4 linked regions of the Lepisosteus oculatus genome follow. The protein of the gene in region 2 interacts with the protein of the main gene of each other region in a pairwise test. Links are inferred from orthologs where the notes say so. Each region holds a gene or a part of one and is shown on either strand. Other genes may lie near its edges. The genes, in order: ndor1, tchp, nme7 and krt94.

Region 1 (7,095 bases), on a different chromosome or scaffold from region 2:
ACGTCTGCGGCTGGTGAATGGTAATCTGTCGCCTGCCCTGTCTCCTCGTAGTTGACACCTGGAGAAGCACTCCGAGCTCTTCTTCAATGCTCTGATGTTGTTGTTGTTGTTGTTGCCGCACACGGCGTGCTTGCTTGGCACGCCACGGGAAAACGACGTTGGCTAGCTCCGTCGACCCTTAATGGTAGTAAGCACGGCACGGTTTTGGCACGGCACGGCACGACGCGCATCTGCGCCGGTCGCCGGGACAGCCTTGGGCTACCGCAAAGCCCAGGAGCTCGGGTCGCCGCGTTTCTGCCAAACCCGTTGCCGGGAAGGCGTGTTGGGAGGCCCCGGTTCATTCGTTGTCTGTATTTTGTTTTTTGTATCGAAGGCGTCCCGAAGGATGGAGCAGTCCGAGGAACAGGAGGCGCTGCTGGGGGCCGGGCGCGGAGGCGTGAACTCGCCGCCTCTGTCCGAGGCGGACAGCACCCGGGAGGGCTACCTCGAGTAAGTACGAGCATCTGGGGGGTGCCTCGTTTATTACAGTTCAAAATGAAAATGCCCCGGCGTTAAGGGTGGCCGGCGTTTGCTCAGCTTGCCCCTTGGGTGAGATAGTCCGGTATAGCGGTTTATACCTCGGGGGGTGAATTCTCGTCGACAGTGAGGCGAGAGGATCGAAACCCTGACTTGCCAGTTCTGCTTTATGGGGCGAGCTGTAAAATACAGAAGTGAAGAGGTTATCATCGGCCATCGGCGCTGTTGTGGGTGCCGATAAACCGAAAACACGATGTCGATCCCCCCCCCAAGCCGGTGCGCGGTCCTCTAAATTTGCAGGCTGGCGAAAGACGCTCCTCTTGTCAGGTGGGCGCTTGGCGTCACCCCTGTCGATGGTAATTTAGAGCTCAAGTATGTAGCTTGAACTAAAACCTGACGGTATTTAGGTCAGTGGCAGCCCCCCCCGCAGAGAAATGCTGTAGTCATGTGATTCACATGTGATAGTTCACCTACACTGTCCCACAAAGACGCTTTGACCATTAGGGGTCGTGTTTGAGGTCCTGGAGTAGGCTGCACCAAAAATCTTTGTCGGGAAAAACGTGGGGGGGAAGCCAAGCTTATTCAGGTCTTTTTTCATATTTCTTTTTCCCCTTCTCCCCCCTCCCTTAATGAGCAATTGATTGCTCCGGGTCTTGTTTTCATTTCTTTAAAATAAATTATCCTTACTTGGCATCCAGACCAAACAGATGACTTGGGAAAACAAAACAAAAAAAGCAGTATTACAGCATCTGGGGTGTGCACGTACAATGTGTTACTCTCGTCAATCATTAATAAATTCCCTGACTCATTTAACTGCATAAAGAGGCGTTCAGAACCTTTGCCTGTGTTTCCCTTGAAGTTCAGGAAAACAGTTGATTGTCCTTTGTCTGCTGCTGTGCGCTGTAGCGTTCTCTTTGCCCGCTAACGGCCGCTAACGTAGCGGTGCTTGTGTAACCGGTGAGACAGGATGCCGTCTCAGACGTGCGTGAGCCACGCTCGTCACCTCCCGCGCTGCAATAGCGAAGGCGCAGTCAGGACATACAGCGCAGTTAAAACGGTAGAACCTGGATCGACAAGCGTATTGTTAAAACTCTACATAACCCGTCAGTTTAGAATGTTGTGCGTTGATAGGATTTTGATCACCGCAGTCCAGAAAAGGCAGCGCTGCTCTGGAAGCGGTCCGGAGCAGAGCGACTAGGTCTTTGGTTTGAAAGAATGACCTACACTGACCCCAGTGTCCTGGCCAAATTTCCCCCTGGCCTTTACCAGTCACGGCCTCCTAATAACCCCCCTCTCTGAACTGGCTCCATCACTCTGTTCTCCTCCCCACTGAGAGCTGGTGTTTGGGGAGCGGACTGGCACATCATCCAGGTGGGGCTGCACACTGGTGGCGGTAGTGGGATCCCCCATTACCTGTAAAGCTCTTTGAGTGGAGAGTCCAGAAAAGCGCTATCTAAGTGTAAGCAGTTATATTTTATTAATGCCCCCCCCCTCCCCAACGCCAAGCCCCGTGACTGATCCAACCCCCCCCTCTGTGGAGAAAACCTGCGTGTTCAAATCCTGCTGTGCCCCCCTGAGCCGATGCTGTGTTTTCCAGTCAGGTCCAGAATGGGAACCTGTTCCTGGCCACCTTCGCCGCCGTGCTCGGGCCCCTCAGTTTCGGCTTCGTGCTGGGCTACAGCTCCCCCGCCATCCCCAGCCTCAAGAGGGCCGGGGACCCCCGCCTGCAGCTGGACGACGAGGAGGCGTCCTGGTTCGGGGTAGGGCTTTCTTTTTCTGGGTGCGCTCGATTTAAGGGGCAGGGGATCGAAAATTGATCTGTAATAAGGCCGATCAGTGCGTCTCCCTTGCACAGGACAGAGAAGCGTTTGCAAAGCGTCCTCGAGCTTTGGAAAGGTGCTTTATAAGTTAAAAATTATTATTATTATTATTATTATTATTATTATTATTATTATTGAGTCTTACCTTCCGAAAGCAGACGCGTCCCCAGGCGCTGAGCTGTGTTTGCCGAAGGCAGTGCTGGGAAAACACCAGCTCTTCCTGGGATTCCTGGGCGGGTGGCGGATTTGAAAGTGGGGTGCGTCGGGGCAGAGTTTTTTCTGGGTTCTGGGTAACACTGGAGTACAGAGTGACGGACGACTCGTTTTCTTTAACCCTGAAACACACACCGCCAGTTTTTTACACCAAGACGAAAATTCAGGCCGGAAAGGGTTAAAAACTCCTGCCGCCTGGACCTTCGACCTCTGACCTCTGACCTCCGCGCCTGTCCGTGTCTCCCCGTGTGCGTCCCCAGTCCGTGGTCACTCTAGGGGCGGCGGCGGGGGGGGTGCTGGGCGGCTGGGTGGTGGAGAGGATCGGGAGGAAGCTGAGCCTCATGGTCTGCGCCGTCCCCTTCATCCTCGGCTTCAACATCATCATCTCCGCGCAGAACATCTGGATGCTGTACCTCGGACGGGTCCTGACCGGACTGGCCAGCGGGGTGACGTCCTTAGCAGTGCCTGTATGTAAAGCAGCAGCAGGGATAATGAGAGTAAACGCAGTGACGCAGAACATATTAGCAGTCTTAATGAGGCCAATGACTTATGTCTTGTCTGATATGAAAAACCACTTTGTTCTCGTATGTAAATTCCTTATTAATGCATATTAATAAGGGGGTCAGTTGTTCGTTTGTAGTGCCTCTGCAGAGATAACATTATAGTAATAAAAGGGGTCTGTTTAATAGTTTTGCCAGAAGGGAGGGGGGGGGCTGCTCTTTTTCCCTCCAAAGAGGTCGAGTTTGGGTTTCAGGAGAGTTGAACGCGTCCGATTGCAGGGAAAAACGGCTCCGTTGGAAACAGTTGCCGGGGGAGGCCAGCGGACAAACCCGAGCAGCGGGTTTCCCAGCATCCCTGGGCCTTGCCGCGGTTACCGGGCGGGCGGCATGAAAGTTGAATTAAATATCGGGTGAAGTGTCGTTCTCTGCCCCGCGGGCTCCTAGCGCTCTGCACAGAGGCCCAGGGTATGGCCTGGGGGTGGGGGTGGGGGGGTTTGTCAGCTCAACGGGAAGTTTCGAAACCTTTAACGACGCTTGAATTCTGAGTGCTGCCGCTACGTCTGCTTCACTGATCGCACGGTCTGCCCCCCCAGTTGTACATCGCGGAGACGGCTCACGCCCGGGTGCGGGGCATGCTGGGATCCTGCGTTCAGCTCATGGTGGTGACGGGCATCATGGGAGCGTACATCGCAGGTAAACCGTTCGGATTGTCCGTTTTCTTTGTTCCCCCCCGTGGTGCGCTTCCTGTCCTCCTTTCCGCTCTCTGTGCCTTGCGACTGGGGTACGAACCGTGTTCTCACAAGACTCTTGAGTCTCAGACTCCTTGTTCGCACCCGTGCCATCCCGGAGTTTGGTTTTCACCTCGCGGCTGAACGGAGAGACGGGATCACTCTGTGCTGTTGGTGGGGTTTACCTGGCTGTCGTTGCCCCCCCCTCTGGTCCCGATCCGATCCACGAGGCGGGGAGTGGCGTGGTAACGAGCGACCCGGTTGCGTCTCTCCCCGCCCAGGTCTGGTGCTGGAGTGGCGCTGGCTGGCGGTGGCGTGCTCGGTGCCGCCGGCGCTGATGCTGGTGCTCATGTGCTTCATGCCCGAGACGCCGCGCTTCCTGCTGGCCCAGGGGAGGGAGTACGAGGCGCTGGCGGCCCTGCGCTTCCTGAGGGGGCCGGCCGTGCCGCACGAGTGGGAGTGCGTGCAGATCGAGGCCGCGGCGCGGGAGCAGGTGAGTCGGGGGGGGGGGGGCACCTTGCCAAGACTGTAAAGATGAAGTTATGATATTATTATCATTATTAATCCCTCACACTTGCTGTATATGGCACTTTTCTGGACACTCCACTCAAAGCGATTTACAGGTCATGGGGAATCCCACTGCCGCCACCAATGTGCAGCCCCACCTGGATGAGGCGCCAGTACGCTCCCCCCACACCAGCTCTCAGTGGGGATGTGAGCAGAGTGATGAAGCCAGTTCAGAGACGGGGATTATGAGGAGGCCATGATTGGTAAAGGCCAGGGGGAAATTTGGCCAGGACACCCCTACTCTTTTTGAGAAACGCCCTGGGATTTCTAATAACCATAGAGAGTCAAAACCTCAGTTTTACATCTCATCCGAAGGACAAGTATAGTGTCCCCGTCACTGTACTGGGGCATTAGGGCCCACGCAGACTGCAGGGTGAGCGCCCCCTGCTGGCCCCTCTTACACCTGTTCAGCCTGTCCCGGCCTCGGGGTGCACGCTCAGTGCAGCGGAGAGCGGCGCTGAGTTGCGCCACGCTGTTTGCATGCCGTCTGTCTGGGCCCCATTTGCTGTTTAACGCGTTTCCCTCCCTCCCACCCCCTCGGGTGTCGCAGGGCGACAGCCTCAAGCTGGGAGACCTGAGGAGCCCTGCCATCTACAAGCCCCTGCTCATCGGGGTCCTGCTGATGTTGTTCCAGCAGCTCACGGGGATCAACGCCATCATGTTCTACGCCGAGACCATTTTCGAAGAAGCAAACTTCCAGGTAGCTGCCCCTCGCCCTCCCCCCCTTTGCCGTCACGCCACAGACACAGTCTGGGCTCCTCGTGTCGCCCTCGCCCCTCCACCCCACCCCGCCAGTTCGTCCCGCAACACCTGGGGCGCGAACCCGGGTCTCCCGGCGTGACGCCACAGGGAACCAGCCGAGTGAGCTAAAGGAGACCCCCCCCCAGCCCAGGTGGCTGAGGTCCCTGCGACGCACGAGGAGGGAGATGGCGTGGCCGCGCCCGAACGAGCTCCGCTGACGCCTCCCGTTTTCCCTTCCGCGTTGGCCGGGTGCGGCAGAGTGCGGTGGACATCCCCCGTGGGCGTTGTCAACGTTTTACCAGTTCCCTCGATATTTCCGTTCCTTTGCTTGGACGCTCATCTTCAGCTCAAGAAACGAACTGAAGTCAGCCAGGAGAAGGTTAACGAGGGAGAGCCTGTGTCACTGTTAATGAGTAAACCTCAAGTCTGGTGCCAGAACCCAGCATCCTTGTTCGCAGACGTCCCCGTGTTTCCGGAGTAGTCCGTGACCGCCTGTAAATTCCATAGGCATCCCCTCAGGGTGCCGTGTCCAGGCTGGTGTTGGGAACAGCAGCCCAACGTACTCAAATATCGCTCCGCTGTCCGCAGTTTCCCCACTGCGGTGTCCTGGGGGGGGAAGAACCCGGATGGTTACGGAGTGCTGACCGGCGACCGTGGTGCAGTACGTTGCATGCCGGGTGCCGCTCCTTCGATGGGGAAGGACATATTTCTCGAGCTCCGTACTCGACTTTCGGGCCGGCCATGTGCGGGAACACCCCCCCCCTCCCCTCCCTGCTCTGGCTGGAGGACCGGGAGGTGGGGGGAGGCATCTCCCAAGGCTGTAGACGGCCGAGGGAGCCCCGCCGGATCGATCCGCAGGCCGGATTCCAGGGATCGGTGCCATGAGCTTAACGGCGGGTTGTTTTTTTTTGTTTGTTTCAAAAGGCCAGCAGCGTCGCCACGGTGATCGTGGCTGCCATCCAGGTGGTCTTCACGGCCCTGGCGGCGCTCATCATGGACCGGGCCGGGAGGAAAGTCCTGCTCGTCCTCTCGGGTGAGTCTCTCCGGGGCCGATGCGGTCTCTGACTTTTAACGCAGACTGTTACATTGATCCTGCAAAGCACCAGCAGTTAAATAATTAATCGTAATTATACCCTTACACTTACACCACGCTTTTCTAGATACTCCACTCAAAGCACTTTACAGGGAATGGGCAATCCCACTGTCACCACCAATGTGTAACCCCCCCCCACCTTGATGATGCGATGGCAGCCAGAGTGCCTCAGTCCGCTCCCCACACACCAGCTCTCAGAGGGAGGAGAGCAGAGAGGGGGGTTATTAGGAGGCCATGACTGGTAAAGGCCAGGGGGGAATCTGGCCAGGACACTGGGGTTACACTGTTACGCACAGTGTGTGATTGGTATTGTACTGGGCTTGCAGGGAAGATCCAATTAACAAATTGTCTTTGTGTTGTATTAAGCAGAGTTCCAAGTCTTGCCCTGTAGAGGGCGCTAGTCCATTGTCAGTAATGCCGATATTCCTGTATACACGTGGGGCTGACTGGAGCATTCGGGGTGCAGTACCTGGCTCATGTGGGGTACAATGTCCACAGCAATATCTGTGCTGGAGACTTGAACCCCCGGTACCCCTGCATTGCCCAGGACTGAGCGCCCCCCCCCCGGGCTGGTGATGGTAATGCTGGCTGTCCTTCTCCCCCACCGTGTGTCCGCAGGGTTGGCCATGGCGGTCAGCACGGCCGTGTTTGGGGCGTACTTCAAGATCACCAGCGCCGCGCCCACCAACGGCTCCTCTCTGAGCGGGGTCCCCCTCCTGGCCGCCCAGAGCTCTGCGCTGCCCCCCTCTGAGGGCAGCCTGGCCTGGCTGGCCCTGGCCAGCATGGGGCTCTTCATCGCAGGTACAGCCTCAGGAAGACTTGGCCTCCAAAACCAGGGTTCTTTTTTCTCAAGATTCGCGTTCGCAGAGAAAATCCGGGAACGGGACTGTGCCCACGCTGCTCCCACCCATGGTCAC
Region 2 (7,934 bases):
TTCACATTGTCATGCTACACGGTTCACCTTTATGAGGAATTCACCAATCTCAACAAAGTGGTTCCCAATCCTGATAGTCCCAATCCCAATCCTGATCTTGGTGACCCCCACCCCTGCTGGACCATCCCACCTTCATTAGATAAAGGAACAAGTGAAGGTTTATTCCATGCTGAAAAGAAAAGACACAATGTTTCGGCCCGAAGGAGCTCCCCAGCCGAAAGGATCTGTCTATTCTTTTCCTTTCAGCATGGAATAAACCCACCCTTGTTCCATTGCAGCCTACACATGCCGACGCAGCCACCTACTTGAACGTCTTCATTAGATTACTGAATTCTTAGTTGGTCTAAGAAGCTGCTTCGTTGAAATATTTGCCTTTTGTTTCTAGTCACAGGTTTGGGGTTTTTATTTCACTTTCAAAATACCATGGTTAAAGGTCCAGCATATTTAAGAGCTGGGAACAAACAGTTCAAATTAATCTGCTTAAGAAGGGCACATCCATTCCAGGCAAAAATGGCCTCTGGATGCCTAAAAGATTAAGGCATGTTAAAGGCGATGTCTCACAGTATAAAGCTGCTATAGGGAATCTGTGGCTCACGGGAAATGTTGTGATTGGCTTCGAATAGGTTTGCAATGTCACTGCCCCTCATTGAGAGCCGAAAAATCATTTCAGCCTTCACATTTCAGTGGTTACCACTGAGGAAAGGCTGTGTGGAAGTACAGAATGGATATGTGTGACTGTGTTGTGAATCAGAATGAGGACAGACGTTTATTTTCGAATTTTACCTCCTCGGGATGTCTCCAATTGAAACGTCTAGTTGTAACGTCAGGTGCCTGATTTTGTATTCTCACTAAGATCAGGGTGATGCTCAGAGAAACAAAAGTCCGTATTAGGAGCTTTTAAGAGGATTGTAGAAAGAGCGTTCTAGGACAGCATCCTTGAACAATCTTTGTAATATGAACAGCATGTGGGAAAAAAGCAGATTAATCTGCTTTAGAGGTTATGTAAAAGAACTGTCCCTACCACCCAGTAAAAGCCACTCACTGTAGGAGTTAGGTCAGGAAACATGAAGCATTTGCCTTCCTTTTTACAGCAGATTGTATGTCCAAATCTGCTGAAATAATTTCTGTAAGGTTTGTATACAATATTTTCCAGCTTAAAGCCAATACATTGGTGGTATGTTTGACCTTGATGGAAATCTGTCTGCGTTGTGAAATCTGTCTGGTTATTTAAAGTGGCACCGGGCACCAGGTAGAGATTAAACTACTGCTGTTGGTTTCAAATGCACACATACACTCAGCAGGAGATAAGTCACTGAGAAAGTGTTTTGGAAAAGCACTGGAGTCTTTGGGACATGAGATATTCTATGTACAGTAGTATATAATGCAGCATCAATGCTTAATAGGAGTCAGTCTCCAATTTCCATTCCTTTGTTCTGTTTCGTCTAACAAGAGTATGCTGTAAAGACAATACGCCCCTCACCATTTTATGTATATTGGGGACCCACACACACAAAGAAAACAATGCAATCACACATTAAAATATCGATTACCAACCTTGAAAGACCAGTCTTCAAATGGTAACAAAATGAAACAAAGGACAGTTAAACAGGTAAAACAAAGCATACATCAGATAACTGAGGTACGCCCCTCCTTACAGACCCATCTCCCGTCAGGGAGACCCCTGTGCTACAATCACAATGCCCGTGTCTGCTCATCACTTCAGAACATAACAGGAAATCAGGCAATGATGGGTTTTATACACTCCAAGAGTATACTACATTCACATTCCAGTTGATTAGAGCTGCCTAGTCATTAAAAATGGAAAGTGCTGCTCTGTGCCTTTTACTATATTGTGGCCTTAAAATAAAATCTGTTCTCCATTTAAAGTAAGGCATAGGTGTGTTTAATATGTTGCAAATATCAGAACCTTCAGTCACTTACCCCAGAGTCAATGACTTCCCTAACCCCACCAGGTCTATACAGAACTTAAGTCTTTAAACTGTATTTTATAGATGAAGTGTAGATAAGTGTAGCTATCAAAACAGAATGAGTGTCTATCCAACAACGAGCAGGATAAAACGATTTTGTTATTTTTTTATACACAACATGAGAAGGGACTTTTGAGCTACCCCGTTACAGAATGTGTTCCTTTATAAAGCAGTCGTTAGTCTGTTGAATAACAGTAATTAAACGAGTACTTGTTCATTCTGGGTCAACCCATCGTAGTGAAGCGTGGGATTACTATCAGGCTGTAAATATAGATTAGACAAGCAGTGCGCTTCTCACGTTTAAAGGCAGCATCTTATGTTTACAGCCCGGGATCCAGATACCACCAGGCTCAGGCTATCAGGTTCTTCATTTGGATGTTGAAGCCGGAGAAAGTGAAGAAGATTAAGCAAAGATAAGCGGCAGTTCTATGTTATCGAGACCCTGTAATCTGTTCAATTTCTCTTAAATAAATGTAGGTTTAAATTTCCTCTGCAGTTCTAGGTAGTAAAACCGTTCATGCAGTTGATTTAAAATGCCATTGGACAATTAATAGGAAATACTAATTAATCGAATAATTAATTAGTTACTAACTGCTGATTATTTGGCATTAACAACAATATATGCCAAGCAGCCAAAACGATAAATATACCTCAAGCAGCGCGGCTGTTATGTCTCTTACGATTGTACTGTATTCAAAGAAGAAACGATGTTGCGGTGTAGTGCAGTTCTGCACGTTTTCAGCGGAGTTTCATTTATTGCAATTCTGGTAATCATTGCGTACAGGGCAAGCAGCACTCTGAAACCTCTTTTTTTTTTCTTAACACATGCAGAGCACAAATCTCAAACACGGAACATCACTGAATCTTACAGTAAGCTTCGCCTCCGACCAAGCATTCATCTTGAAGTTACCGAGGCAAAGTTAGACTAAACTTCACGGAGCAGCTGAATGAAAATATTTAACTTCCGATCGTTTAAAAAATGCTACTATTAAGCACTGATATAACAGACCACAACGTAGCGATAAAACTCTTTGTTTACCTGACCGTGGTCAGATTAAATCTTATAAAGAAGCTGGAGCATTAAAACACATTTCCAAAGTGCGTGCATAAAGTGAAGAGACTTCAAGGTGATTTAAAAAAATGGATAATACGACTTCAAGCGATTTAGATCCTTATGTGGAAACACAAAGATAACACTACAACACACCCCGAGATCGCTTTGTTTACAGAAAGGAATGGCATCCGTTGCTAAAAAGGTGATTTGTCCTCCCTGCCCAGGTGAATTTAAAGAAACTTACCGAAGAAAGACGGAAGGTACGACACCGACTCCAAAAACGATCTGGTATCCACTTGCTTATCGGCTGGAAGCTGTTTAAACTGATGCTCCGCTAGAAGAGCCATGGTGCGCGACTGTCACGGCAAAACCGTAATTTAAAACTCGTCAATCGAGGGGGAAATAAAGCTTCAAAAACAGAAACCCGGAACTGTCAGAGAGAGCGCTTGTGTGGTGGAGTAGAGGAGCGACTGAACTGACAGCTCGGGGGGCCGCACAGCGAGCGAGTGGCTCCAGCTGGATTTTCGGATTAGCCTATCAGGTGCAAGGTGGGCGGGACAACACCAGCCAATACCGAAAAGAAACTCCCAGAGCCGTGCGGCACAGACCTACCTGGAACCTTCTGTACCTACAGTACTCGTTGAACTGTGGTCCTTGAGTTTAAACATGGTTCCAAAAAGGAAAACAAAAATTGAGACAGTACAGGGCTCACATCAGGCATGTTGTATCATATTGAATGTCCGGAGGATTTGATTCGTGTGAAGAAAAGGTTTTTACAAGTGTAGATGTACATAATCTCCCCTTTCGCTTTATGGTTTTAGATGAGAGATTTCTATCTAAACGTTTCCTCTGTAAAAGACAAAGAAAGAAACAAATAGATAAGCGAGTAAATAAATTATAAAACGATATATTTTTTTGTTTGCTACATGGTCAAAACGTTGAATTATAAAAATGCCAAAAATAATTAAGCAGCTCTTCAAAAATATGTCGTGATGATTCAATATCTGATAAATCAATCACTATATATACAGTATGTTTAATAATGGGTACTTTTCAAGTCTTATTTGCATTATTTGTATTATTTGCGTTAAAGATATATGCGACACTTAAATGTACTAAAGCAGAACATTGCAAGGGATCAATAATTCAGAGGACCCAACTCCTCACATTCTAAACTTGTGAAAGGGCTTTTCTTTTAATTTATTTATATCCTCTTTACCCTTTAACTGACAATTTCGATATCTGACAACACTTCTAGGGTATAATTAGCCATGGTTATCTGTTCATCATGAAACATTCATAGCTGCTCTATATTTAATGCGGGGCAGACAATGAAATTGAACGAAGCATATTTAATCTTTGTCTCCTACATTCACCAGACAGGTATATCCTATATTGTTGTGATTTACAGTGACTGGTGAATGACTGGTGACGTAAATTTCTACTTTCTTTCTAATTTAAAATTAAATAAAACGCGAAGCTATTATAGGAGCAAACCACGCACACTAAATACTAAATGTTGGATGCTCTATTTAAAAAAAATTAACATTTCAAAGCAAGCAAGTCATAAAACAGTGGGTTTTTAGGTGCTATCTTTGGCATTTCAAGACAAAGTTCAGCTAAACATGTGCCTAAAACGCGTTTCTCTGAGAATTTCTAGCGAGACAAAATGTAGAGTTGCCACCAACCCAGAAAAGTCCATTATATCTGCCATTTCATGCAATTTGTTTGAACAATTATTGTGATCAGCCTTTAAGTGCAGATTCAACGCAGGCTATGGACATCCAGAATGTCGGTTTCGAAACATTAGTTAAGAACACGGGAAACGTCTAAGCATGTGCTTTGTCCCTTACGGCATCCGTAGTGTAACCAGGAAGTTAAACCGGTTACCAAGTGAAACAGGAAATAGCCGAAAGGAACTGTCGCCAACTGAAATTTCTGAAATTTGAAGTTGGAACAAGCTTCCACTTGGAATAAAGCCTACCTTACTGCGTTATTGAAAACGTGATAATCATATTTCTACAGTGAGTATTTGCCTCTTAGACGAATTGTCCCCTTTTGCATGAACTACAAATTCGCATTATATTGATTTCGAGTGCTTATGAAACCAGATGTTTAAACCAAGTCAATATGTCTCACATGAACATTACAATAGTACATCGCGATGTATGTTAGTTTAAAATCGCAGGGGATAAGAACAGTACGATACCACTGTTAAACATAACGCGTAACATCTAAACATTTATCTATGCAATATTGTTGAATACTTGCTTATTTGTGTACGGTAACGCATTTAATAATGTAGAAGTCTAAAGGTGAATGAGTTGTTATTGTCATTTTTAGTGCAAGGAAACTAGGAATACCCATTGTAAAGTTTAATAATGGTAATAAGGGTGTAGAATATAATCATCTGTGGTCCTGTGACATTCTGTTTTAGTATTGATTGATGTTTGAAAGGAAAGGGTTCCTACATTACAATGAACGTTTGTTTTTTTTTTAAGGTGCAGGAAACAGATGGCTCTTCCCACCCTCTCGATGCGCTGTCCGAGCCGCTCTCGAGTTCTGGAGCAGCAGATCGTGCGACAGCGGGAGCAGGAGGCTCGCTTCCGGCAGCAGTGGGAGCTGCACTCGCAGTATTTCAAACAGAACAACGTGCGGAGCAGCAAGCAAGCCCAGTGGAGCTCCCGACAGTCTTACCACCAGAGGTGATTCAGCAAACCTCTTTCAACAATGTGTTTTATTAACCTCAATGTGCTGGACAACGATGAATCGTTGATTTTGCTTTTTGTTTACACGCGCTTTGCTTGGCAAAGTGCTTTGGGATGTTCAGTATGTGGTGTTTGAGACCCATCGAGGATAATTTGCTGGGATGGAATTAGATCACTCTTATAAAACAGTCATTCCCTTCTACAGGCGTTCAATCCTTTTTAGAACTAAGATAAAAAATAGGAAAAACGTTATTTTCATATATACCCGTTGCAATAAAGCAAGATTCCTTGATTCTTGCCTTGATCTTTAAAAAAGAGCGTGAGAAAGGTTACAAGTTAGAGGAGGACATGCAGCACAACTAGCTCATGTAGCTGTTTATAACTCATAGATCCGAGGGTTTCATCCAGCAATTTCGTGAACAATGTCAGGGTATCGCGCTTAACAACATGGTTGGGCAGCTTATTCCGTAAAGTTATGTGGAGAAAAAAAAGGACTCCTGTGTTCAGTTTTAAAAGTGCTTTCATATTCCACTGGTCTACTAATAATTCTTAGCCTTGTGAACTGCTGAGTTTTCCCATTTAAGTATTGGCAGCCTCTCTCCTGTTGCCAGCATGACAGCCTACCATCAGGAGAAAGTGAAGGAGGAGAAGAAGAGGAGTCTGGAGCAGCGCAGGGCCCGTCTCCGAGCCTTCCTGCAGGAGGAGAGGGACCAGCTGGAGGCTGAGCTCAGAGAACTGGTCCCCGACAGAGAGACGCTGGCCAAACAGATGACAGAGAGGATGGAGGGGCTCAGGACATCCAGGGAAGAGCGGAGAAAGAAGGTACAAGCAGTGCTCACGTTACAGAAACCAGTTCCTGTAGTTTGAAGTAAGCAGGGAAATATTTCAGCCTGATCCAGCCCTGACATAATCAATCGTGTTATTGTGGGATTCGTGCGAAAGATAAAGGTTCAGGGTGAGACAGAACAAAGACAGCTGGTGCCAAGCTATGACTGGGAGAAAACAGTGGCCTGATCATCGAGTTAGCTGCATTCTTGTTGGCAATCCTTAATGCAGTTTTTGATTTTGGTCACAGGTGGCAGAGGAGCTGTTGCAGGAGCATTGGAAGAGAAATAATTCAGATTTACGTCAGGTACAGTTTGTTTTTCTATGCTTTATGTGGTAAAAGCATGGTCTGAAAGTTTATTTGCAAACATCACTTTGTTATTTACTTGTATTTTGAGGTACATGCAGAAGGCATCCAGTTATATGAAATTTGTTCATCTCTAGTATTTCTGTATCCTACGTGTTACATTCTGAAAGGTAGGGTACTCTTACTAACTGCAATGAATCTTAAGGATCAGTTTTTAAAATGTTAATGTTGTTCTGAGTCCTTGAAATACAGCAAAATTAAAGAGAACCACATGGTGTGAAAGTGTGAGGAGAAGTGCGTCAAGGTGTTGACTTGATCCTGAAACTAATAGGCCATTGACATCATTGTTCCATGACAGTGTGTAATCCTGACCCTAGGATTGAGTTCCTGTCCCATAATGATAAATTATTTCTTCAGAGACCTGCTACCTGCAGCAGGGGATTTTGCAGAATCAATTGAAGCCTAAGAGACTGTTTTTTTTAATTTAAATAGACATATATACAGCTTAATATGCAATTGTTTTGACATAAAAGTTTTATCTGACTTTCTGTCTTCTTAGTGTTAGGTGTTAAAGTTAGGAAAGAAATCCTTAACGTCCCCTTATACTTTTATATTCTAGGTTGAATCAGCATTGCACAAGGACCATGTAGTGAACAGCTGGCAGGTGCAAACGAGAGAAAAAAAACAGGTACCTGCACCATCACCATTAATTAACATTTGCCCCTATGCCTTATTGAGAGGCATAGGGTAATCTAATACCAGTTCTTGCTTAACTTTGCAGAAAAGCAAAATGCACTGGCACCTAACATTTGAAATGAATGTTCTTTCAATATCTCCTGTTAACAATTATGCTTTTACTGAAGTCTGAGTAAATGTATCATGAAGTTAGATGTCATTTGAAGAATGCCATGGCCCCTCATACATCTCCCTGGTGGTCAGGCAGTATGACTTGGGTTAATTGTACATATCGCTGTGTGACACTCCATTGTAATACATCCTGTGAAACTCAGGCTGAGTCTAAGAGCCACAGGTCTCTGGCCACTGACCTTTTA
Region 3 (7,495 bases), on a different chromosome or scaffold from region 2:
ACCAGGAAAGTGTGATTTTGGTTAAGAAAAAGATTCAAATAAATCACATTTTCACCTAGGATAATGACAGTGGATGGACCACAAATGTCCTACAGAGTTCACACTGCAACACGCCTGCCAAGAACCTTCCCAGAGAAACCTCTTTCTCTTCCTCTTTCTCTGAGCCATGGCTAACTTGCAGTGTGATTAAATCTGGTGCACATTACTCTTATACTTATTTACTTATTATTACTTATTTCATTAAAATAAAATGCACATTACTCTTTCAACAGAGTGTTTCAGTAGACAAACAAATACATTAAAAACAAGAATTAGCTTGTATTACCTCTATACTCATTCCCTCCTCGTAAGATCCCGTGTACTCAGAGCCATCTGACAGAAATGCTCCATAGGGTCCAACAGAGCCAGCAACTAGTAGCACCTTTTCTTCAGAGGATCAGAAACCGTGTTTTCTTAAACCAGTAGCTTAATCAATACATCACAAGGATTATATTCCAGACATCGGATATATGTTGAACTATGGAAAATATAGATGTCATTTCTTACAAAAAGAAGCTGCATTTACCTGGCTGAAGACAGTTCACCTTGAACTCCTGCACTGTCTCTCTAGCTATCTGAACACCTGACATCAGTAGCTGAATTGCTTCTTCTGAAGTCAGACCCAAGTGCTTGATAAATCCTTCCACGCTTGCCTGATATGTAGCTGTTGTGACAACATCAGAACCACTACAAAGAAATCTACAGAACAATAAAAGTATTACTGCTTTTTGTCAGCACTACCTACAGTATGTCAGTGGTAGCCAACCCACATCCTGGAGGGAAATAAACAAGTATGTTTTATGGGTCATCCTTAAATCATCAGTTTCTTGACACTTGATAGTATTTTATCACTGAATCAGATAGTTTCAAGATCATCAGAAAAGAAAACACCTGTAGCTCTCCAGTATAACAGTTGGCCACTCGTGTCTTAATTGAACAAATTCCATTGCTTAATTGATCAAACTGTTCACATCTCTCGTGTCCCATGTTTTTGCAAATTAATGATTTAAGGGTGACCTTTAAGAGCTGCTGGATAGTGGCTCTCCAAGACCAGGGTTTGCCTGTAGTACCCTTGATCTACCCACTGTATATGTTCATTCAATGTATATCACATGGTATGCTTTAAATGAAAGAGTACTATATCCAGAAAAAAACTTGTTCTTATGAATATACAGAAACAATAAACATCACACCTTTACCACTATTTTTGATGTATTTGCACATTTTATGTAAAACTTAAAATAATAAAATACAGTGTGTGTATGAAGTGAAAACTCTGGGCTAGGTTTTACCTGTAATGGGCATCTTTCACAGCCTGGGGGTTAGTGTGCAGAATCCTAGCACTCCACAGTGGATCCCCCTGGAAAAGTGAAACATTATAGTATTTGTCTAGCATTACTGTGCCTTACTGCCTTTCATCTTATTTTACATATATTACAAATGACTGTGGGCTCTCAAACATCATGAAAATAAATGGATATATTTCTAACTGTATGAGTATAATAAATTGATACAGTACATAAGAACAAATTGCTTGAGGTGTAAAACATGTAAAATATACAGAAGCAATAAACCAAAGTTACCTAGTCCAGGTTTACTGTATAAATCATTAATGTACCTGTATCTTTACACCAGCTGCTTCCAGCTCTGTTGCCAATCCACCATCCAGAATGACTATTTTGCCATCCATGTTCATTTTTCTTTCTGAAAAAAACATTTTTAAAACAGCTTTAGCAGATCTATGTCTCAAAGATGGTTACTGAATATAAATATTTCGCTATAAAATGTCACATAACAACATGCAGGTATTCAACTTCAGGGTTTCTAAATATAACCTAAAATTAATGACATGAAATGACAGAAAGCCTTGTAGCACCCGATTCTGACCATGTATCAATCAAGAGTTCTGGTGAAACAGATTATGACTCAAATGTACAATTAGTCATATTATCTGGAATAGTTCAGTGTTTTAGCACCACCTAGACACGTAGAACAGGGTTAAAAAAACTTTTTACAGAGGAGAGATGCAGTTGTATCTGGTAAAATAAACAAGTAATGCTTTCAGAGATATTTTACCTTGTAAAAATGTCATGATGTGTATAAATCTAACAACCACTTTAATATTCACACAATATTATGTGTGAAATGCATTAATCTGGCCTGTTATGTGTATTCTGCAGACTGGTTATTACAAAATAATATATAAAAAAAAGTATAGAAAAAATGTTACAAATTTGGAATTAAGCACAAAATAACGAACCTTGTGAAATGACTAAGTCACCAGGTTGTCACAAACCCCAGGTCTCACCATGGTCGAGAGAGTTCCCACAAATTGTGTCATGTAGCAGCCCTTCATGCTCGCTAGTCACTGTATTGACTCACGTAATGCGATGTACGAGAAAATAAGTACAGGTTGTGGAGCAGAGATTTCACCACAGCAATATTACAACTGTGATCTGCACGCAGAGTTAAGAAGTCCCATTTATCCGCAAAACCGTTTCCAAGTCACGAGCAATATTTCTATTGGATTCACAAGCCTACTTGTTCACAATGTAGTGGAGCCGCTTTCCCTCACCGTATGTTTTTTGTTGCTTAGTCTTGAATCGCAGAATATGGCGCTGTGCTTACCTGGAAAGGTCGTACCTTTTGTGATGTAAATTGAAGGTTTTACAACTTACTGTGTACATTTGAATTATTGGCGCTCGTTCTTTCAAAAAACCGAAATATCAAAATAGCGTTGCAGTTCTTTAAGAATCTGTGGAACTGCTCTTTAACCTGCAAATAGGCAGAATCGCATGAAAGCCTAACTGTATTGTGATTTGAGAAAACAGTACATTTGTACAAGTGTATTGCGTATTGAGAAACTTCAGGTCACATTTTGATTTTACATCTTAAGCTTTAAGAAAACTTGAACTTAAAGCATGTGAACTAATGCTTGCGGCTCCCATAACGACGTACCTTTCCCCCAGTTCCTCTGACTCTGTCCTCGGTCGTATTGTAACTGTCTCTGCAAGGAAAACACATGCCTTTTTATTTCCACAGCAACTCTACTATACTCGAACAATATAAAAAGAGAAAACAAAACAGAGCTGTCCAAAAACACACTTCTACATCTATTGTACTGTATTTAAATTAACATAACAATGACATACTAAGGACTGTATTTACATGAACAGAAACATTATATACTAAGGCTGCCATCTGGTCGGTTTTTAAGCGAGAATACTGCAAAGAATGGAACCTATATACCTTTCGGCTGATTTTATTAAAGCCGGCCAAGAGTTCAAAAGGGCAGGCTAAACATACACAGACGGAACAAGATCTTTGCATGATCGTTTTATTAAATGTAAGGGTTTAATTCTGACAGCTCTCCTTTAAGACAGTGATATAAGGTTTCATTTAAAGTGTCAAATACTTTAATTAATAAAATATATTATATAATACATGAAGATTACATACATTGAAGACTCACAGTTACGTATTAAGAAAAGAAAACAAAGATGACGACAAACGCGTCACAACAACACACACCGCCTTGTTCATAATAACCTTTAAGGTCATAGAAATACTTCCTCCCTTGACAAGCGTCACCTCGCAATTTGTTAGTTAGATACTATAAATCAAACAATCAAATGTTTTCATTTATGAAAATAAAAGCTATATATATATACTTTACTTTTAGCTTTTGTTGCTATTTTTTTTCGCCAGCGCGCGCGTGTTTCCGTACGCTTCGTTACATTGTTGCTATGGTGATGAACCCGGACAGATGCCGCGGGTTGACTGACTAAACGAGCGAGCACAGACCCTTCAGGATGGTGAGCAATATTTTGTTTTGTTTTTTTATCTGTTGCATGGATTTTATATTTCATTTAACCCATTATATATATTTATGTTTGTTAACGTTTAAGGTCGAATTGTAATTGTAAGTTATACTGGAAAAGGAGGTTTTGATCTCTTGTTTTCTTCACTTTCCTGTATTTTTAAATCACTTAAGAAAACGACTTTCAAAAAGCACATAAGGGAATAAACTGGGATACCTATATCATAGCTAAATTCGGGAAGCTCTTTTTTTGTTAGCCAAGACGTCTATAGCTTATCAAAGTATGTTTATTGAGACACTTAAAAATGGCTCGTAATTTGGTAATGTTTCTGATGTTGACTATGATATCTTCTCAGTTTTGTCCCGAAGCATTTATTTGTAGCTCCAGCTCCTGCATCACTCTGTTTTGTAGTTTTGCAGTGTGTAGCGATCACAAGGTTTATAATTTAGCCTATTCTTACTCTTAAAGAACAGTTTGTGACGTTGCGTCTCTTTATAGCTATAGTGCCTCTTTGTGCACACTGTTGGTGGTTACATGATATATAACGAGGGTACAATAGTTATAAAAATAGTTGCATGTCAGTAGACGCAGTAGTCGTGCCTCATAAACAAGGCACTAGCGACTGTAATGTTTACTTCTACAGCACTTGGATACACAGCATTCATAATGAAGTGGTAAAGAGCTTCCTACTGTCGTCGTAAACAGATTTTGTTCTGAAGGGACATTCAGCATTGTTTCACAACAGTTGTTAACAGATCTACAGATCTGCAGCGGCAGTGTATTAATTGGGGACGAATCCCTGAGGTATCCACGTACACGTATGTAAATAACTTCGTCTCGTATTCTGTATGATCATAACCGAATAAAGTCAGGTCCTGCCGTTAAGATCCAGCGGAGGACGACGCATTCCTGCAGGATGCAAGGCTTTTCAGAGGTCAGATATTTGCCTTATGATGAAAATCAAACACTCACATCAGATTCATTGCGATTGCTCTAAATGCGAGGACGTCGAGTCTCATTGTGTTACGAGAGTGACGTTACACCGTGCTCTTGAAAAGCGTGGCTTTCCCTGAAAATTGACGAGAAAAACTAAATAAGTGCTTACATCCCCCGCAGATGCTTTTACGTTTGGCCGTAGTCCTCGAAGGTGATAACCTGCCTTGAAGTATCCGTGTTTTTACTGCTTCCTTAGCTCACGCTCATCCTTAGTTCAGCTGTACCGCTAGGTGTCACATTTGCTCCTTTTACTAATTTTTGAAAAGCAAAATTTCAATGTTTTGTTTTTCCTGCTCACTAAAGGGCAAAGCTCTGAATAATGACTAGTAAACAGATGTTGACTATGATCCTTTTTATATACCTGCAGAACAAAGAACAGCAGGTATACCAAAGCATTTACCCGGTTATCATAGTCAATGAACGTCCTGGAAACAAGTAAATCTAAAATGTTATTTTGGGGGGGGTCATGCTGTGCTCTGCTTTTGTACAGTTCGGGGGGAAGTAGTCAGCCAGAAACAAATGACAGTATGCAAATTAATTCTGTGAACTACATCATTCATGGTTTGAAGACGTGCATGGAAGCCAAGGGCTTCCCAAGAGTCATGGGCTTGAACATAGATTCGGAAAGCGACATCATGGTTAAAGCTGCGTTAAGTTTTAGTCCACAGCAGTTAATAGTTAATTGCATGACATTCCTCTCATACATGTTACAAGTGAGTTGCTTGTAACATTTTGGAGAACTGAATCCTATTGCGTTTAACCAACATATTTAACATGGTTCGGCCACATCTTCCGAACATCCAAACCTCATGTGTGATTTTATCATCCTTCTGTAAGTGCTGTTACTTAACCTGCTATCTCACATTTGTGTGTGTCATTAGAGTGGCATTCTGGTTTATTGAGGTTGGCTTTCTCGTGTCAGATTCTCCACAATTTGATTACCTGTAAAAAGCCCAAGTATTCTTCTACTTGTCAAACACGTTTTTTTGTTTTTTTTTTTTTATCTTGGCATGAGGTATGACTGTGGGATAAAATGTATCCATACAGATTGGAAATTGTTGATTGAAAAGGCACGGGCAATTTCAGTCCACATTCTGAAAGTTCTTCTGTAACTGCAGAGATGGTAGTGATTATAACAAAAGGGATTCTTTTCAGTCTCCACTGATGTTCCATGTGCAATTTATATGAAGGTACAGCAATAAGAAACACTGATGTCAAGCTGGTCTCCATTTCAGGCACCTTTTAGTTCATGGAGCAAAATGATATAATAGTGCTTGAACACCGCAGGTCTGCCTGTCAAGCTGCTGATTTGGACTTTTTAGTTGATGTCTGATTTTTTTTTTGTTTTGTTTAATTTTAAATAATTTGAACGGATTTTTAAATAGAAACAATACTAGGTAGGGCATTCACACAAAATAATTGAAAATCATTAAAATTTCATGCACTTAGAGACAGCCACTTTTTGAGACCCTACAAATCAAATCTGCTGAGTTGTGACATCGGTGGTGCCTACAGCACGAGGCTGTTAGGAGAATAGCTTCTATGTCTACTGCTTGTGTTAAAGCACTTGCTTTTGACAGAATGATGCTGTTAAAAGCCAAGTGAGCTTTTTCTGGAGTCATTCCTAGAGTTATTAGAGCATTTGAGGAAAAATCTTCCTTACTGCGAACCATTTTTCACCAGTGTTTTCAGGATCTGCCCCCTGCCTGCTCGACCATAAATTAGGACTGTGTTTACTTCCTGATTTCCTAGTCAGCCACAGCTGCTGTTTCCCATGGGTGTGCACTGCCTGTGCAGCTTCTCTGTGGGAGCGCAGCACTGCACACCTTTTCTGTCTCATCTGCCTCTCGCTCGGCATGCGGGTTCACAATATTCCTCACAGATCCGCTGCTGGTTCCACCACAGTGGTAGATTATTACAGTATGACAGAGCCAAGCACGAGGGCGAAACACTCCATAACCCTTCCTGGCAGCCCTAGGAGATAAGCAGACTAGTTTGAAAGATTGAACAAGTTCACTATTACACATACTAATTCAGCAGACAGTGGCTAAATTTTGTGCTGCCTCTCCTGCTCCTGCACCTGCAGTCAGCCCCTCATCCTGGACCTGGATTTCCCTTGGATGAAGAGTCTTAACTCCCACTTTGCCAAGGACCCTGGACTTCTCTGTGCTTCAATACCAGTCCTCCTTAAAAGCACCGCACCTTTATAGCAGGGCACACCTCAGATCACCAACCTGCTGATAGAATGAAAAGCACAGATTCTTCCAGCAAGGTAAAAGTTCAGGGTCAGCCACAGCTTCAACCACTTTTGGAAACTTCTACCTCCCAGAAAGCACTCATCTGCCCACCCACTGAAGGCAGCTTTTCCAAAGAATCTTTCCACTGTCCAGCCCGCAGTGATTCCCGAGCTTCATGACTTCCCAATGCCTTCCCAAGAGCTACGCCTCTTGACATTTCTGTGCTGGATCCAGAGCTCAAAGTTCTGCCCTCTGTCAGTGGTGGAGGGGACAGTGAATGCGTAACAAGCCAGCTTTTCTCAGACGCCCTGCCTGACAGTGATGGTCCCTCTTACTGTCCAGACGAAGTTGCTTCACTTGGGGCCAGGAATCCCATCCACCTGGGCCTCTGGCTGTGACCTG
Region 4 (6,983 bases), on a different chromosome or scaffold from region 2:
ACACGTGTGGGAAGAGAGAGAGGATGATAACAAGAGCCCAGAGCCACCTGTTGCTTTATCTTGCACAGAGCCCTGGGTCCATTCTTGAGGCTGACCTTCAGATACAACACACTTATTTAAAAACAGCTAAGAAATAATACGAGCAAAACCACATCAGTCCTGTGCCTTTGGAGAAACAGGCTCCCAGACTGAACAGGGTCAAAGTGAGACGTCTCCCTCAGTGGAAGCTTGGTATTACTGCGTGTTTGATACTGCTGGGTGGGGTTGGGGCGCCGGGCGTACCTCCTCGTGGTTCTTCCTGAGGTAGGCCAGCTCATCCTTCAGGCTCTCGATCTGCATCTCCAGGTCAGCCTTGGTGAGGGTGGTCTGGTCCAGCAGGCGGCGCAGGTTGGCGATGTCAGCCTCCACCGACTGCCTCATCATGAGCTCGTGCTCGTACCTGTGCAGGACAGGGGGGGGCGAGATGTGAGGACAGGGTTGGGGGGGCAGGGCGTGGTGTGGTTGGCATAACCTATAGGATCTGTGCCCTAGGACTCTGCAGGGACATGCTGGGACAATACCGGGTTGGGAAACTGGAATCTGGGGATCTGAGGAGGTTTTGGGTTGGTCTGGCTTTATCAACAAGGTGTAGATAGTAGTTTTCTCTTACAGGAACCCAAGTGGGTTGCTCTTCCGGAATTATTAACAGGAAAGATCTACCTCAAACTTTCCAATAATTACAGAAATGAACTCTTCTGTATCCTAGTACCCAGACAGCTATGGAACCATATGTAGAATCAAGGTGGTTGTCCACCACGTGTCTCCCTTAGTGGAAGTTCATCCTCGTTCGCACTCACATCTGCTAGAAAACACTAGTGGAAGCTCAACTGGATACCAGTGGTGTCTTCAGCCTCACACATATAAGAAAATCTCTCACAAATCCAAATCATTTGCATTGATTTCAGGGAAATTTCTTGTAAGACTTTATTCTCTCTCGAGAGAGAAATGCAAACTGTCCTTACTTGGTCCTGAAGTCGTCAGCCGCCAGCTTGGAGTTGTCAATCTGCAGGAGGATCTTGGCATTGTCGATGGTGGCATCGGCAATCTGGAACAGAAGCAGGAAAGATAACCTTCATGTTGGATGGAGAAGAGCTACAGCCCATTCCTGGTGCTCGGGACAGCACACACAGGACAGACAGTGGGAAACGCCCAGGTGATAACACCCAGGCTGGGCTCTGCAGCCTCTGTGAGCTCAGTGCCAGCAGAGTTTTGGCCAGGTTCCTGCACTCAGGTCAAAGTCAACGGAGGTGGGGCTGATCTTTTCTTTCCCTAGCCTATCTGTCACAGAAACACACCTGCATTTACTGATCTGTGTGTTTGTTCCTTTTGTCCTCTCCTGTTCTAGGAGCCTGCGGTGCAAGTTTATATATCTTATAAAATAAATTAAGCCCTTGACTTTTATTCAGACCCGTCAGGACTGTTAAGAGTTTCTCTCGTGATGTTTACTTGTGCAAACTGCTTTAGGAAGTGGTGCTTGCTCTTCGGATGCTGTATCTGAAGTGTGACTGTTTCAGTGACTGGTGCTCTCAGAAGATCATGTAGTGAGAATTTATGCTCTTGAGAGAAGCAGAAACATTGTGCTGATAACTGGCTAGAGCAGTCAATGCTCAGAACCTGACTGTACACCTCCCTCTACTGCACATCCACAACATTGTAGCCTGGAGCATCAGAAACACCAGACAGGTGCAGTAGGAGATCTCTACCTGCCACACCTGCTGCATCAGCCTGACGATCCCTCAGATACGCACAGGGCAGAATACTTTACTACCTTTCCTTTCTCCTCTTCGCTTTTCCTCTCTTGTTTAAGTTCAACCGAGGCATTTTTATAGAAATGTTTTGCCCTTTTGTAAACATGCCACGTTTTGTAAGACACATGACATTGTAACTCTGGTTTAAAGCATAATATCATTCCCTCACAATAAAAACAGGTTGAGCCTTTTGCTCTCTGTCCCTGTTCTCACCCTGTCCATGCAGTGCAGTGCTTGCCTCCCTTCGACACAGCTCTGTCAGCCTCACAACTAAAGGTCACTAAAGACAGTTGTGGGCACCCTATGATAACAAGTGTGGCTGTGATGTATCCATCACAGGACAACCATGCTTCCACAAAGAAGGTCACAACAACAGCCAGACGTTAGTCATAGTCACAGCATGCTTGTACCTATCAGAGCATGCAGTATGATGGTGCACCGACCCATGAGGGGCAGGGAGCCCAGGTGAGTTACCTTGTCTTTCAGGTCGTTGATGGTCTTCCAGTAGGGGCTGTAGTCACGCTCGGCAGCGGGTCCCTTCTTCTCGTAGAACTCCCGGATCTTCAGCTCCAGCTCGCCGTTGGCGGCCTCCAGCGAGCGCACCTTATCCAGGTAGCTGGCCAGGCGGTCGTTCAGGTTCTGCATGGTGGCCTTCTCGTTCAGAGACACCGGGTCGGAGTCCCGGGAGTTGGACAGGCTGAAGCCGCCTCCAGAACCGTAGCCGCCACCAGAACCGTAGCCGCCACCAGAACCGTAGCCGCCACCTGAACTGAAGCCTCCTCCAAAGCCGAAGCTGCCTCCGGAACCGAAGCCCCCTCCCGCGCTCCCGTAGCCTGCTCCGAATCCCGAGGACACGGAGCGGGCAGAGGAGGCGGAGATGCGGGCCCTGTCCCCCAGGCCTCCGTACATGCTGAGGGCCTTGGGCGCAGAGGACACCATGCTGACCCGCTTGGTGGTCACCGTGCTGGAGCGCGGGCCACTGCTCATTCTGTACATGGACATGCTGCTGGTGAGGAGGAGAGGAAGAGCTGCCGAATCCCTGAACCGCTACTGGAGCACCTGAGCCTGGAGATTCAGGAGACTGCAGCGCAGCCCTGTCCGCCTCCCCCTGATATAGTGCGCACTGGGTGTGGAGGGGAGGCCGCTGGGCAACAGTCCTCCTCCCGTCTCGGATCCTGGGGGGGGCTGCAGAGTGCTCGGCAGAGGCGGGGCGACCTGCTGGAATGTTTCTTAAATGATCCGGATTAGTTTCTTGCCCAATGAGAGAACTGGAGAGATATGCTTGTGCCTGCCTGCCAGCTCTTCTGTTTTTTTCGCCTGCTCTGCATTGCGCCCTGTCGAACAGCGAACACCAGGAAGACCTGCTCTCCGGCTCCCGAGCCTGCGAGCGCTGGGCGTGGGTCCCTCCTTATCCAAACACGGCGCTGCGTCCCCGCAGGCTGTAAAATCTCTCCACGCCCAGGAGCACCGCGGTCTGGGAACGAGGCGCCCCTGGCAGAGCAGAGAGAGACCAGGGAGCCACAGGAGAACGATCTGTATATTTCAATTCGAGAATCTGGATTTCCTTTTTTTGGGGCTGGACATGACATGGACACAGGCAGACATGAACAGATTTCTTTTCCAAAAAGGGAGGTGGTCTTCCCCATTCCGTCTCAGCTTCAGCCTTGTGTTTTGATGAACATCTGTTTAGAGCTGCTATTTGTTCTGAAACTCTGCATTGGGGGCCACCAACCCACACCTCATGGTGGCTGGAAGGAAGTCTCTGGTTGTACTGACCGATACAGGTTGTTCATGCTATTGCTCTGGATGTACAATAGAAAAACACATTTTAAATACAGGCCATACCTAATTATTCCAAATTACAGTTGGTCTGTATCAGACAACACAATCCCCTCATGTGCACACCACCAAGATTCGGCCACCATGGGCAGTTTAAGTGTTTTGCCCTCATTTCGGAGCTTTGTAATTTAGCGGCACGGCGAACTGTACAGGAGGCTCAGAGAGTGTTGGACTCTGTGCCCCACACCACCCTACCCCCACCTCAACACAGGGCTTAACCTGGGCTCTCTCCTGCTGTTCACAGACAGAGCAAGAGAAACAAGTTCACAATTCCTGTCTCTTCTGCCTCGTCTTAACGAGAAGTAATAATAATAACTGCTTACACTTATATAGCGCTTTTCTGGACACTCCACTCAAACCCCTTTACAGGTCATGGGGATCCCCTCCACCACCACCAGTGTGCAGCCCCACCTGGATGATGCGACAGCAGCCATAGTGCGCCAGAACGCTCACCACACACCAGCTCTCAGTGGGGAGGAGAGCAGAGTGATGAAGCCAGTTCAGAGATGGGGATTATTAGGAGGCCATGATTGGTAAGGGCCAATGGGAAATTTGGCCAGGACGCCGAGGGGTTACACCCCTACTCTTTTCGAGAAACGCCCTGGGAAGTTTCGAGAAGTACCCCATCTTAACGAGACGAGTCATCTCACTGGAGCGTGTCCCACCCTAGTGCTCCCATCCAGCAACGTCCATCTACAGGCATGTGAGAAACCGCAGGAAGAACTTCTCCCTTGCGCTGATACTGTATCTATAAACAGTCACGCTGTGATTGACCATGTTGTGTCCAAATGTCCCCCCCCCCCCCCATAGACTGGCCTTGTAATTAGACTGTAATACCTCACTGCTGGGCACCTGCACATCTCTGCTGCTGCTAGGCTTGTCTTTCCCCAGGTGTGTAGTCAGCTTGGTATGTACTCTGTTTCCTGTGCCTTTTTATCTGTTTAGTTTACTCGTATACTTTAGTTAGATTATACACACCAGCAATTCGGGTGTCTGTTACCAAAATAATAATAGAAAAATGTTTCCTTTTGTGGTTGTGCATTTAATAACTCAAATAATGAAATGAAATATTAGAAAACAAATATTCTGAGTAGTGCAAAAGTGTAGCAGAGTCATTTCTCCAAATGGCCCTGTTCACTAGATAATTAATCTACTAATCCCATCATCCCAAAGTTCAGGGACCTGTTCGGGCAGGGGAGCCCAGCCGGCTTGTTCCTGAACAGGGCAGGAAACGAATAGGGAGCTGCAGGAAAACGATCTGTATATTTCAATCTATCAGAATTTCCAGATTCCTGTTTCTCCTCACCAACCCCCATTTCTCCCCTACTCAGCCCCAAAATACAAAATCCTAAACATCAAACGCCATCTGATAAGGAGGCTTTGACTGCCTGTAGGGACTGAACCTTGACCCCTGGGGAGATGACAGAGGGAGGTGTGTGCAGGGTGCAGCCAGCTCTAACATACCTTATCTGACCTCTGAGGAACAGCCGGCACACCCCTGCTCAGCGCTTGCTGTCCTGGGCTGCAGCACCTCTGAGACTGAAGCAACCTGCCCTTCTGATTCTAAAAGTTTTGTTCTGCATGAAGCACATTTTCGCCATATTCATATATTTCTCAAAGCTTCTAAAGTCTGGTCTCCAGGTATTTATGTCTATGCAGAAGGAACTGAATGCATTAAAAATGAATTAAATGAATGAATTAAAAATTCCACATACTTCTCTGTGTGTACACAGTGTCAAGGACAAACGAAGCAAGCCCAAACATTACTGGCTGGGTGGTTCAGGCATTTTGGTGATGTAGTACAAAGCTGACCAGGAGTCTTTAATAATCTATAAAACGTGGATGTGTTTTTGTAGTTTTCACTTGGAGAACTGTTAGTAAAACAAGTCACCACTGTCACACAGCGATGCTCTCAACCTGGAGAAATGAGACTGTAGCAAGAACACCTGAAAAAAAGAAGAAAGAGAACTAAGAAACAGGAAAAATATCTTACAATCTCAGTTATCTGAAAGAATGATCGACTTTGGAGAGAGACTGTTTGACTATTGATCATTATAGTGACTATTTGCCACTGATTTTATTTTAAATATAAGTTACCAACCAGTCATTACAATTTAGTCTGCAACTGTATATTCATTATACAGGTTCCTTCTAGAATTGAAACTGTAGATGAATATCAAAGCTGTAAGGATCACCCTGTAATTGATGTTTGTGTCAGTGCAGAGTCTGGCTTTGCTCTCACATTCATGTCGGCTTTTAGGGGGCGTTTAGAAACGTCTTTCTGCACTTTCCCAGCTCAGGGCTGCCTCAGCTTGTGCTGGAGGTATTTATTGTCTGCGTTGCCTTGGAAATTGGAAGTAGCCCAAATCATGACTTGCCCAACACAGACTCCTCAGGTGAGCAATTTGTCTCAATTCTCCTTCTGAATCGCTCCTTTGTCAGGAGCTAGAAAGTCCAGATTTTTTTCTGTAAACAGGGAACCATGACACCTGTCATGGATGTCGAAACCTTGAAACATGGAAATATAATACCAGGAGGCGTGGCGGTCCCTTGCGTGTGGCTGACAGCTTGATAAAAGCTTTCCCAGGCCCGTGTCAGCTGCTTGAAGGCTGGCCATCTCTCTCGCAGCCCAGGTCACATCACTGCACCCAGCTGTCCCTGCTTCTTCCACTCATTGTGTATAACATCACTTTATTCACCCTTTACAATTGCTTGCATTAGGAATTTGTCTTTTCACCAACCCCAGCTTGCTCTCCATGAGACACACAGACAGGGAGAGAAGCTGGGGGTCAGAGCGCAGGGTCAGCCATTGTACGGCACCCCTGGAGCAGTTGGGGTTAAGGGCCTTGCTCAGGAGCCCAATGGAGTAGGATTCCTCTGCCAGCTGTGGGATTTGAACCGGCAACCTTCCAGCCACAGGCTCAGATCCTGAGCCACAGAGCCACCGCTCCGCCCCGTTTCTCACATTTAACAAGATTCCTGGTCCAGTACATAGATTATGCTGCAGAATTCGAGGGGGGAGTGCGTGACCCGGGGCCCCTGTGTCACAATCGTAAACCCCTCCTCTTAAGGGCGCTCCAGCCCTTCCTTGTTTTTCACTCATCTCCCGCACCTGCTCCCTGTTCCAGCCCCCTTTAAAAGCCAGATCTCTACTCTGTTCCGGGCTCTGCATCGGGTCCTGTACCAGGCGAGTCCAGGACCTGGAAGCGCCAGGTCCCGTCAAGGTTCCTGTTCCTGTTCCCATTCCCGTGCCGGTCCTGACCCGGTTCTTGTTTTAATCTCGTCTGTCTTGGATGGACTGCCCGGCTTTGGACTTTTGCCCCCTTTTGGATTCCCCTTTTGGACTCCTCTCTGGAC

What was found.
Region 1: the proteins of tchp (region 2) and ndor1 interact in binary tests that used the Homo sapiens proteins (3 or more experiments, as listed by UniProt). The two-hybrid records come from large-scale screens. The link is inferred for Lepisosteus oculatus from reciprocal best matches to the Homo sapiens genes TCHP and NDOR1.
Region 3: the proteins of tchp (region 2) and nme7 interact in binary tests that used the Homo sapiens proteins (3 or more experiments, as listed by UniProt). The two-hybrid records come from large-scale screens. The link is inferred for Lepisosteus oculatus from reciprocal best matches to the Homo sapiens genes TCHP and NME7.
Region 4: the proteins of tchp (region 2) and krt94 interact in binary tests that used the Homo sapiens proteins (3 or more experiments, as listed by UniProt). The link is inferred for Lepisosteus oculatus from reciprocal best matches to the Homo sapiens genes TCHP and KRT16.

Annotation. Positions count from the first base shown.
Region 1 is NC_090719.1:2,813,984-2,821,078, forward strand, and holds the start of ndor1 (NADPH-dependent diflavin oxidoreductase 1), read right to left. Parts: upstream 3,014-7,095; 5' UTR 2,950-3,013; coding exon 2,772-2,949; intron 2,672-2,771; coding exon 2,482-2,671; intron 2,277-2,481; coding exon of another isoform or gene 2,114-2,276; intron 696-2,113; coding exon 618-695; intron 490-617; coding exon of another isoform or gene 374-489; intron 21-373; coding exon of another isoform or gene 18-20; exon of another isoform or gene 1-17. Other genes in the region: slc2a8 (solute carrier family 2, facilitated glucose transporter member 8), read left to right, coding at 18-20, 374-489, 2,114-2,276, 3,643-3,742, 4,059-4,270, 4,895-5,044, 6,010-6,118, 6,797-6,979. UniProt on the Homo sapiens protein: NADPH-dependent reductase which is a central component of the cytosolic iron-sulfur (Fe-S) protein assembly (CIA) machinery.
Region 2 is NC_090717.1:5,755,798-5,763,731, reverse strand, and holds the start of tchp (trichoplein keratin filament-binding protein), read left to right. Parts: upstream 1-4,915; 5' UTR 4,916-5,066; intron 5,067-5,543; 5' UTR 5,544-5,556; coding exon 5,557-5,747; intron 5,748-6,361; coding exon 6,362-6,572; intron 6,573-6,825; coding exon 6,826-6,882; intron 6,883-7,501; coding exon 7,502-7,570; intron 7,571-7,934. Other genes in the region: gltpa (glycolipid transfer protein), read right to left, coding at 3,287-3,389. UniProt on the Homo sapiens protein: Tumor suppressor which has the ability to inhibit cell growth and be pro-apoptotic during cell stress. Inhibits cell growth in bladder and prostate cancer cells by a down-regulation of HSPB1 by inhibiting its phosphorylation.
Region 3 is NC_090710.1:23,186,045-23,193,539, forward strand, and holds the start of nme7 (nucleoside diphosphate kinase homolog 7), read left to right. Parts: upstream 1-4,478; 5' UTR 4,479-4,776; coding exon 4,777-4,794; intron 4,795-4,965; exon of another isoform or gene 4,966-4,989; intron 4,990-7,495. Other genes in the region: homocysteine S-methyltransferase, read right to left, coding at 326-426, 566-738, 1,332-1,399, 1,658-1,743, 2,998-3,046, 3,289-3,369. UniProt on the Homo sapiens protein: Possesses an intrinsic kinase activity. Displays 3'-5' exonuclease activity with a preference for single-stranded DNA. Does not seem to have nucleoside diphosphate kinase activity.
Region 4 is NC_090723.1:10,006,742-10,013,724, forward strand, and holds the start of krt94 (keratin 94), read right to left. Parts: upstream 3,007-6,983; 5' UTR 2,790-3,006; coding exon 2,262-2,789; intron 1,085-2,261; coding exon 1,002-1,084; intron 440-1,001; coding exon 283-439; intron 1-282. UniProt on the Homo sapiens protein: Epidermis-specific type I keratin that plays a key role in skin. Acts as a regulator of innate immunity in response to skin barrier breach: required for some inflammatory checkpoint for the skin barrier maintenance.